3 linked regions of the Saccharomyces cerevisiae S288C genome follow. Changing the gene in region 1 together with any one later gene gives a genetic interaction. Each region holds a gene or a part of one and is shown on either strand. Other genes may lie near its edges.

What was found.
Region 2: mutations in CAT2 (region 1) and CIT2 impair growth when combined (synthetic growth defect), as found in Saccharomyces cerevisiae (one study listed by BioGRID).
Region 3: of CAT2 (region 1) and PEX34, changing one suppresses a phenotype caused by changing the other (phenotypic suppression), as found in Saccharomyces cerevisiae (one study listed by BioGRID).

Annotation. Positions count from the first base shown.
Region 1 is NC_001145.3:191,147-195,457, forward strand, and holds CAT2 (carnitine O-acetyltransferase CAT2), read left to right. Parts: upstream 1-1,641; coding exon 1,642-3,654; downstream 3,655-4,311. Other genes in the region: RRN11 (Rrn11p), read right to left, coding at 1-621; VPS71 (Vps71p), read right to left, coding at 3,767-4,311. UniProt on the Saccharomyces cerevisiae protein: Carnitine acetylase is specific for short chain fatty acids. Carnitine acetylase seems to affect the flux through the pyruvate dehydrogenase complex. It may be involved as well in the transport of acetyl-CoA into mitochondria.
Region 2 is NC_001135.5:120,399-124,358, reverse strand, and holds CIT2 (citrate (Si)-synthase CIT2), read left to right. Parts: upstream 1-2,030; coding exon 2,031-3,413; downstream 3,414-3,960. Other genes in the region: YCR006C (uncharacterized protein), read left to right, coding at 1,356-1,829. UniProt on the Saccharomyces cerevisiae protein: Peroxisomal citrate synthase involved in the citrate homeostasis. Catalyzes the condensation of acetyl coenzyme A and oxaloacetate to form citrate. Citrate synthase is the rate-limiting enzyme of the tricarboxylic acid (TCA) cycle.
Region 3 is NC_001135.5:26,365-29,430, forward strand, and holds PEX34 (Pex34p), read right to left. Parts: upstream 996-3,066; coding exon 561-995; downstream 1-560. Other genes in the region: PRD1 (metalloendopeptidase), read left to right, coding at 1-542; KAR4 (Kar4p), read left to right, coding at 1,565-2,572. UniProt on the Saccharomyces cerevisiae protein: In concert with the three peroxisome divisional factors, PEX11, PEX25 and PEX27, controls peroxisome morphology and abundance under conditions of peroxisome proliferation. Maintains mature peroxisomes in actively dividing cells.

The sequences.
Region 1 (4,311 bases):
GTTTCTGACTTCTGATGTTGATGTTTTTAATGGCTCTAACCCTCTAGATATAGATTGGAAGTAAAGTTTATTTTCCTTTGTACAATGCAAAAGTGGAATTTCCATTTTCCTTAAAGGAATCTTTTCAATTTTTTTAAAATTATGATACGTCATTTTTTGTTTGTTAATGGGCTGTTTATTTTGTGAGGACACTGTTCGCCAAATTTCGAAACTCTTCTCAGGTTTTTCGTATTTTTTCCAAAATTTTCTCTCCTCATCACTATCTTCCTTGTCTATCCCGGTGTCATGTTCGCCACCTTCCTCAGTTTCCTCCTCTTGAGAGTCTGTTTCGCTTTCCGTAGTAGAGTAAATTTCACCGACCACACTCCTCCAATGCCTTTCTCTTCTTCTTTTCTTCTGCTGTAGTACTGACCTCCTATATGTGCCGGCTTCACTGTTTTGACCTTCTTCTTCGTCATTATTTTCAGCTGCAGAATTTTCGGGCGTTGGCAAACTATCTGTGGTAGTAGATTTCTTGGAAATTCTGTCAAATCTTCTAGAAATGTAATTTATGTATTGATACTTTAACTTTCTTCTTTGAGCAAACTTCCTATTAGTTAAAGTTATAGGGACTTCAAACATGGTTTATGCATCATATTAGAATTTAATTCTAACTTTATTCGTGCTTCAATTTCTTTCTTCTTTTTCTTTAAAACACTTTTTTATTGAAGAATGCTCAAGTATAACCCACTCAAAAATATAATTGGCAATGAAAATATAACTTTTTTAGATGTTAGCGATGCTATATCATCTGAGATGAGATGAGATGAGATGTTTATTATGATCCATTTCTTTTCTTTTTTTATTTTTTTTTTTTTTTTTTTTTTCATTTTTCAACGCGGGTAATAGAGAATACATCCACTGTCCGGGTAAATTATGTTACAGTTAGCGCTTAATGTTCACTTCACAGTATTATGAGCTGTTTTTGTAATAAAGACGACTATAACATAACAAAAAAAATCAACTCTCGCTAGAATAAAGTAACATAATTACTAAAAGGTGGCTAAGCAACATATCGGTCCAACTTTTTCACCTCTTCTCAACGCTGTTTCAGAGTACATTTAATTTCCGCCATATACTCGAATAAGTGGCTAAGGGAGAGTCCGAAGAGCGTGCTACCAATTCTTCATCTCGTTAACAAACTGGTTCTCCGTTAAAAATTGTGCTATATGTCCTATAAGCCAACTCTATCTATATCTTTTCTTTTAGTCCTACTTTGGATACTGTTACCACCATTTTAGATTGCTTTTTCTTTTGCCGCTAGCCTTACAATATTTGGCAAACTTTTTTTTTTTAGCCGCCGAGACTCTTGATCTATGGCCGGGCGAAAGGGCAAATGACTGCTTATCCCCGCCATCACTTCCCCCCGCCCAAGGGTTTAGAATTGGGGATTAAGTAAAAACGAATGACTATTCCTCTCAAAGTCATCCTTGTTCGACAAAAAGAATGGAATATAACATATTGGAACAATTTCATCCTCTTTTCCCCATTTTCGCATATAAGAGCAACTAAACGCCGGTGAGTAAAGTGCCCTTCCCTACAGACTCTTTTACTCAGGTATATATATATATATATCCCTTAAAAACTAAAAAGAAAGCACTCATGAGGATCTGTCATTCGAGAACTCTCTCAAACTTAAAGGATCTTCCGATAACGTCAAGGAGAGCAATGCATTCGGCCATTGTCAATTACTCCACCCAAAAGGCCCAATTTCCCGTAGAGACAAATAATGGGGAACACTATTGGGCGGAAAAGCCGAACAAATTCTACCAGAACAAAAGGCCCAATTTTCAAGGCATTACCTTTGCTAAACAACAAGACTTACCATCATTACCCGTGCCCGAATTGAAGTCTACACTTGACAAGTATTTGCAAACCATCCGCCCATTTTGCAATGATGTAGAAACTTTTGAAAGACAGCAGCTGTTATGTAAGGACTTCTCGGAGCACATGGGGCCTATCTTACAAGACCGATTGAAAGAGTATGCCAACGATAAAAGAAACTGGATGGCCAAGTTTTGGGATGAACAATCCTATTTACAATACAACGATCCTATTGTTCCATACGTCTCTTATTTTTATTCTCATATGCCATTACCGAATCATTTATCGAAGATCGATAATGATCCTTTGATTAAGGCTACTGCGATTATCTCAACCGTGGTTAAATTCATCGAAGCTATTAAAGATGAATCTTTACCCGTAGAAATTATCAAAGGTATGCCATTTTGTATGAATAGTTTTTCATTGATGTTTAACACTTCGAGATTGCCTGGTAAGCCAGAGGATAACCAAGATACAAATATTTTTTATTCAGTTTATGAGAACAACTTTGTAACTATCGCTTATAAAGGGAAGTTTTACAAACTGATGACCCATGACGGGAATGACAAACCGCTTTCCGAAAACGAAATCTGGAGGCAACTGTACTCTGTGGTATTCCAAGGATCGCAGTCCGATCCCAAACTAGGTGGCATTGGTTCTCTCACCTCTTTACCTCGTGATCAATGGCGTGAAGTACATCTGGAGCTTATGAAGGATCCTATTTCTCAGGATTCACTAGAAACAATCCATAAGTCTTCCTTTATGCTATGTTTGGATCTTGACCAATCCCCTGTCACTTTGGAAGAAAAGTCAAGAAATTGCTGGCACGGTGATGGTATTAACAGATTCTACGATAAGTCTTTACAGTTCCTGGTCACCGGTAATGGTTCATCAGGTTTCTTAGCTGAACACTCGAAGATGGATGGTACGCCAACATTGTTTTTAAATAACTACGTTTGTCAGCAGTTGAATAAACTAGATGTGGATGACTTCATGAGAAAAGTAATTACGCCATCATCTACGGTGGCAATGAAACCTATGGAACTGCCCTTCATTATCACACCGAAGATTCATAAAGCAATCGAATCTGCCCAACTACAATTTAAGGAAACAATTGGTGAGCATGACCTACGTGTTTGGCACTACAACAAATACGGAAAAACGTTTATAAAACGCCATGGCATGTCACCTGATGCATTTATTCAACAAGTTATCCAACTGGCGGTTTTCAAATATCTGAAACGACAACTACCAACTTACGAGGCTGCTTCCACGAGAAAATACTTCAAAGGCCGTACTGAAACTGGTAGATCTGTGTCCACCGCCTCCTTAGAATTTGTTTCTAAATGGCAAAATGGCGATGTTCCTATTGCAGAAAAGATTCAGGCTTTGAAACATTCTGCAAAAGAGCATTCTACGTACCTGAAAAATGCTGCAAATGGTAATGGTGTCGATCGTCATTTCTTCGGTCTAAAGAATATGCTAAAATCTAATGATGACCAAATTCCGCCCCTTTTCAAAGATCCCTTATTTAATTATTCTTCAACTTGGTTGATCTCCACATCTCAACTATCTTCGGAATATTTTGACGGTTATGGTTGGTCTCAAGTAAATGACAACGGGTTTGGACTGGCATACATGTTGAATAACGAGTGGCTGCATATCAATATTGTCAACAAACCAGCCAAGAGTGGAGCCAGTGTTAACAGATTACACTATTATTTATCTCAAGCTGCTGATGAAATTTTTGACGCCTTGGAAAATGAGAATAAACGAAAAGCAAAGTTATGAATTTTTCACCTTTCCTCTTCAATTAATTTGTGAATATTTTTGTTAAGTATCTACACTTACATACGTATAAATAGGGGAGAAAAAAGGGCTTACGAATACATACTGATCATTACTATCTATTTCTGCACCTAGTTTCATTATGCAATTTAAAACAACTTACAGAACAAATCTTATTTCCACAATTAACGCAACTTGAAATACTATCGTAGCCACCGCAAATAGAGCATGTCGTAATTAGGGGTAACACTTTGAAGTATCGTTTATTGTAAACATTGTGGTAAATGACATTCTTATCCATCAAGTTTAGCAGCGCAGAATCTAAAAACGAATGTAAATTTCTTTTTGAACTTAAAACCTTCTTTAACGCCACAATACGATTGGTATTCTTCCTCTTTGGTTTAGGTAGTTTTGTAGATTTATACGATAATTGTATTTCCCGTAAGGTTTCTGGTTTAAGCACCCAACCATGACCATACTTGGAATGCTCTTTTACAAAAGAAGAACCACCCATTAATGCAGAGAGACCATCCGAGGTCTGTGAGATCGGTTTGGTTGTTGATTCAATTCTATCTCGTGGTACGCCTGTGAGATCACTTAATAAAGTCGGTACATTTGGTAAATCCGAGAAATTTTCTGTGTTAAGTTCCATAAACCTCC
Region 2 (3,960 bases), on another chromosome or scaffold:
AAGTTAGAGGAAGCTGAAGTGTAAGGATTGATAATGTAATAGGATAATGAAACATATAAAACGGAATGAGGAATAATCGTAATATTGGTATATAGAAATATAGATTCCATTATGGGGATTCCTAGACCCTCGAGGAGAACTTCTAGTATATTCTGTATACCTAATATTATAGCCTTTATCAACAATGGAATCCCAACAATTATCTCAACATTCACCCATTTCTCAGAATGAGATATACTTTGAGTAAAAGTGGTGGAGGATATTACTTATGTCCTTGGTAGCATGGGTCAAGATAGTTGTGTTAACTTGTTAATTATTTTTTACTATGCTTCTCAATTAAAGATGAAGTTTAACGAATGGTCTAGACTTATTCTCACAGTTTACCCGGAGGTCATCATTCTCTTTAATGACAATATTTACTCTGTCGTCACTTTCGTAATTGTTTCGTGTCTGTTTCGCAGTCCATTTGGAATGCGACAGTAAGTTAATTACAAGAAGTAGTAACAACAACTTAGCGATAATGTTTCTCATGTGTGACGCAGGGTTACTTTTGACTTAAAACGACCATTTTGCAGTTTTACTTCACGTTCGCAAACTTTCAATAACTGGCTGTTAATCTGGTCGTTAAGAAAAAGGTCAATGACGATGGCAGGGAAAATAGGGCTGTATCCCAGACTTCAGGCGCTGTTCTGCCGGGATTTTTCAAAGGAGGGCGTGTGGTCTAGAGGTATGATTCTCGCTTAGGGTGCGGGAGGTCCCGGGTTCGAGTCCCGGCTCGCCCCACATTGTTTTTACAATGTGTGGTGTCGCTACTGGCAGAAATGGTACGGCATTTATCTTTCCGACGTAAAACAAGTGTACTCAGGAGCAGTTTTTTTTTGCAATATGCTAAAACTCGTACAATAAACCAAGGCGCATGGCATGTTTGAACATTTACTCGTTATTTCGGAGGTTCCTCAGATGGCTGAATGGAGGTACAGATTATGATTTCTAGAAAACTGCAGCGGACTTTACAGAGTAAGCTGGAGAAGACCAATGTTAATGAAAACTTGAACTGCTGAAGTGTGATATTCAATGTATGAGATAATCCATTAAATCATCTACAGTTTAAAGACTGTAGGCTTACATGACCGTTTATCACTGCGATATTGGAGGAAGCGCTTCGGATCAATGGACCTTTTACTTAGCAGAGCGAAGGCTGAAAATCATGAACCCCAACAGCATGTGTGACCTCTCTTCTCACGCCTGGCAAGAAACCAAACTACGGCATACATTCAGCGCACCAAAAAGGAACTCCGTACTATTTACATTAAAAACAAGAAAATGTGTTGCCATTTCCGTAAAATGAATGGCCCATGTTCATACGCGTATGCAACCGTCTTATTTACACTCCGACTAATGTCCTTCTAATTACTGTGGAAGACGGCCGTATAAGCGTCCTTCTGTGGTTTAGATATGCTATACCGGCGGAACTTTGTTACACACGGCTCGCGCGAATCCTTAGGGGAAAACATTGCGCTGACTTTCCCCAGAGTTGTTGCCACAACATAAGCCGCTTTGGAGTGTTGAACAAATCCGTCCTTGGGTCATTCAATCAATGGCTTGGCGGTATCTCAAAAGAGCGCAAACTAATAGCGCGCACATTCGACGCATTTATCCGGTGGTCATCGACTAGGGGCGAAGAGGTCACGACCTATTTTTTCTTGCAGAAAAAAAGTGTGACCTTTTCCGTAGCTAGACGTCTATCAGGGCGTCAGCAATGGGAGGCACAGCGGAAAAACAATAACAATGGTAAGCGCAATTACCTTTTGAGCGTTACATTCGTATGAAATTGGTGACGTTAATCTAAAGATAGTCATGCTCTCAAAAGGGCCCATTATTCTCGACGTTGAGCGTATATAAGACTATTAAAACTTGGTTCTTTAGATATGGTGTTCGTTCCTCATTATTAAGTTTCAGGGAACAATATCAACACATATCATAACAGGTTCTCAAAACTTTTTGTTTTAATAATACTAGTAACAAGAAAAATGACAGTTCCTTATCTAAATTCAAACAGAAATGTTGCATCATATTTACAATCAAATTCAAGCCAAGAAAAGACTCTAAAAGAGAGATTTAGCGAAATCTACCCCATCCATGCTCAAGATGTAAGGCAATTCGTTAAAGAGCATGGCAAAACTAAAATTAGCGATGTTCTATTAGAACAGGTATATGGTGGTATGAGAGGTATTCCAGGGAGCGTATGGGAAGGTTCCGTTTTGGACCCAGAAGACGGTATTCGTTTCAGAGGTCGTACGATCGCCGACATTCAAAAGGACCTGCCCAAGGCAAAAGGAAGCTCACAACCACTACCAGAAGCTCTCTTTTGGTTATTGCTAACTGGCGAGGTTCCAACTCAAGCGCAAGTTGAAAACTTATCAGCTGATCTAATGTCAAGATCGGAACTACCTAGTCATGTCGTTCAACTTTTGGATAATTTACCAAAGGACTTACACCCAATGGCTCAATTCTCTATTGCTGTAACTGCCTTGGAAAGCGAGTCAAAGTTTGCTAAGGCTTATGCTCAAGGAATTTCCAAGCAAGATTATTGGAGTTATACTTTTGAAGATTCACTAGACTTGCTGGGTAAATTGCCAGTTATTGCAGCTAAAATTTATCGTAATGTATTCAAAGATGGCAAAATGGGTGAAGTGGACCCAAATGCCGATTATGCTAAAAATCTGGTCAACTTGATTGGTTCTAAGGATGAAGATTTCGTGGACTTGATGAGACTTTATTTAACCATTCATTCGGATCACGAAGGTGGTAATGTATCTGCACATACATCCCATCTTGTGGGCTCAGCACTATCATCACCTTATCTGTCCCTTGCATCAGGTTTGAACGGGTTGGCTGGCCCACTTCATGGGCGTGCTAATCAAGAAGTACTAGAATGGTTATTTGCACTTAAAGAAGAGGTAAATGATGACTACTCTAAAGATACGATCGAAAAATATTTATGGGATACTCTAAACTCAGGAAGAGTCATTCCCGGTTATGGTCATGCTGTGCTAAGGAAAACTGATCCTCGTTATATGGCTCAGCGTAAGTTTGCCATGGACCATTTTCCAGATTATGAATTATTCAAGTTAGTTTCATCAATATACGAGGTAGCACCTGGCGTATTGACTGAACATGGTAAAACCAAAAATCCATGGCCAAATGTAGATGCTCACTCTGGTGTCTTATTACAATATTATGGACTAAAAGAATCTTCTTTCTATACCGTTTTATTTGGCGTTTCAAGGGCATTTGGTATTCTTGCTCAATTGATCACTGATAGGGCCATCGGTGCTTCCATTGAAAGGCCAAAGTCCTATTCTACTGAGAAATACAAGGAATTGGTCAAAAACATTGAAAGCAAACTATAGTTGGATTACATCCTACTTTTACACCCCTCTGCATATTTTTCTTTCCTCATGACCATTTAGTATTTAGCACTTATTTAATACAATAATATATTCTTTTAACCATACACTATGATAATGATATTTATAATTAAGAAAATGAACGTTACTATTTCCTTCCTCGTTTTAGTTACATAAAATTTACTAATGGTTGGAAAATTGCGGAAGCTATCACGCGATAACTAGGTACACACGCATTATTTTTATAATCCCATTATTAATAAATCCGTTATGACCCTTTTAGTAATAACTTATTAAGAACCTCCGGGTAAAATACTGTACTGCGGGGAAAGAAGGCGCTTCCCCTTCTTGGAACTTAATATAAATAATAAATTTGCCTAAGGGCATTAGGCCTTACTGCCTTGGCTAGCGTACTTATTTCGATTCATACAATTTGCACTATTCCGGCAGCTAGTTGATACTATAACATCCTACATTTTTACTTGTTTTACGTTCATTTTTATTTGAAGTTTGTAAACTTTATCAGAAAGAAAACAAGAAGAGGAAAAAG
Region 3 (3,066 bases), on another chromosome or scaffold:
CTTCCCAAATGTTAGAATTTTGGACTTGGAATAAGAATGAATTAATCAACCTCTCATCACATTACAAAACGGGCGAAAAAATTCCAGAATCTTTGATCAATTCATTGATCAAAACTAAACACGTAAATGGTGCTTTATTCACTCTAAGACAATTACATTTTGGGTTATTTGATATGAAAGTACATACTTGTAAAGACTTGCAAAACCTGTCAATTTGCGATACCTGGAACCAATTGAGACAGGATATTTCTTTGATTTCTAATGGTGGTACGTTATCCAAGGGTTATGATTCATTTGGCCATATAATGTCAGACTCTTACTCTGCCGGTTATTACGGTTATCTATGGGCGGAAGTCTTTGCAACTGATATGTATCACACCAAATTCGCTAAGGATCCGTTAAATGCCAAGAATGGGATACAATACCGTGATATTGTGTTGGCTCGTGGTGGCCTTTATGATATTAATGATAATCTGAAAGAATTTTTGGGTAGGGAACCTTCTAAGGATGCTTTCTTGAAGGAGCTGGGCTTACAGAACTAAATTCGTTCAAGCATAAAATTATACAATTATTCTACAAAGTGTTATTATGTTAGATAATCTTTTAAATAACCTCGTCCCTGGATAGATTAAAACCATTAAATAGCTCAAATCTTGGAGTAAAGCAGCAGTAATATGTCTGATATGTTCGTTATATTTTTTCTTGAAGTTTATCAACTTATCCTTTACTAGACCATTTCCCTCCCCATCCAATCGTTGATCGATTTTAAATTTCACCTTGCATAATTTTATTAATTTCCATACACATTTTATCACTGAAATGCACGAGTAACACAGCCAAACTTTCCGTAATAGCCCACTTACATATAACTTATCGTTGACCACGCCTAGGTTTTCCAATACTGCGAAGAAATCAAGCAGCGAACTTACACCACTCCATATATTCTCCCATATATCTTTTGCACTGATTTCAGCCGTATTTTTCTTCGAAACCATTCAACTTTCTTTTCTTCTTCCTTTACTTTTATTCATCTCCTCTTTACTTCTTACCTCAGAGTCGAACATTGAAATCATTTCCCGCGAATTTTTCGATTATAATTACCCTTTCTACTTAACAAGAAGCAATAAGAGCAAAGGGGCGAAATGCTTGTCCCATACTTTGGCTTTTGGATGTGACATTAGGAGCCTTATCTCCTCTTAATGCCTTAAGTCAAAAAATAGTTTTTGGGATATATCTTGTGATCAAATGCTTTGCAAAAGGGTAAAACAGCGTTTACAATAGGATAGCCAAAAGTAAAAAAAAAAAAAAAAAAAAAAAGAAGGAAGTTAGTATCGAGCTCAAACAATTTTAGTTTTGCTGGACATATTTTCAGTTTCATTACTGTATATTTGCAGCTTGGTTTTTGTCGCTCTGTAGTCTTGTTTCACACTTCGTCATTTCCGAGTTTCATCTTGCGACATAACTTGTTTCAACTTTTCAAGTGCGACTTTTTGTTAAATATTATGACATAGAAGAAAGTAGAACAGCCATTATAAAACAAAAGAGAAGTGAGAATACTATTAAGATGGCATTCCAAGATCCAACTTACGACCAGAATAAAAGCAGACACATCAACAACAGTCACTTGCAAGGGCCAAACCAGGAAACAATAGAAATGAAATCTAAACACGTATCATTCAAACCCTCTAGAGACTTCCATACAAACGATTACTCGAATAACTACATTCATGGGAAGTCGCTACCGCAACAGCATGTTACTAATATTGAGAATAGGGTTGATGGCTATCCAAAACTTCAGAAATTATTTCAGGCGAAAGCTAAACAAATAAATCAATTTGCCACTACGCCATTTGGGTGTAAAATCGGAATAGATTCCATTGTTCCAACGTTGAATCACTGGATACAGAACGAAAATTTGACTTTCGACGTGGTGATGATTGGCTGCTTAACAGAAAATCAGTTTATTTACCCAATTTTAACCCAATTGCCATTGGATAGATTGATCTCCAAACCAGGTTTCCTGTTCATCTGGGCCAATTCTCAAAAAATCAATGAACTTACTAAACTTTTGAATAATGAAATATGGGCTAAAAAGTTTAGAAGAAGTGAAGAATTGGTTTTTGTTCCTATTGACAAGAAATCACCGTTTTATCCAGGTTTAGATCAGGACGATGAAACGTTGATGGAAAAAATGCAATGGCACTGTTGGATGTGTATCACAGGTACAGTAAGGAGGTCTACAGATGGACATCTTATTCATTGTAACGTAGACACTGACTTGAGTATCGAAACGAAGGACACCACTAATGGTGCTGTACCATCCCATTTGTATCGTATTGCAGAAAACTTCTCTACCGCGACTAGACGATTACATATTATTCCTGCAAGGACTGGTTACGAGACACCCGTCAAAGTAAGACCTGGCTGGGTTATAGTGAGCCCAGATGTTATGTTGGATAACTTCTCACCCAAGAGATATAAAGAAGAGATAGCTAATTTAGGTTCGAATATCCCATTAAAAAATGAGATTGAGCTGTTAAGACCAAGAAGTCCAGTACAAAAAGCACAATAAAGCATCAACACATAAATCCTTGCTTAGCTCAATTAAATATACTAGTAAATAAGTATATAAACAATAATTTTGCATTTTATTTTACTGGAAACTCTTCTCAAAACCAAATTGCGCAAGGATTGATTCAGTACAATTATGCAAACTCGAAAAGTAAATAAACAAAAAGATACAGTTGAGTGAAAGGTAAATAAACATTATTCTACTTGATTTTCCTCTGTTTTTTCCATTTTTCTTTTTTGTCTTTTCGTGTTCTAGCGTGTTCACTTTTTCAGCCATGTAATTACTTAAATAGGAAGTTTACACGATGTTCTCGCATAAAAAGCTGGAAGTGCAGAACAAAGAGGAAGAAAATAGGAACAGAGAATTTGTTTGTTTATTTGTTTGTTTGCTTGTTTGTTTGTTTGTTTTGATTTGAAGTCGAGGTACTTATTCGAAATAATTATTTTGCCCAGGGTTTTGGATAGTTTTTTGTTTTCCAATTAGATTTTTAGAAA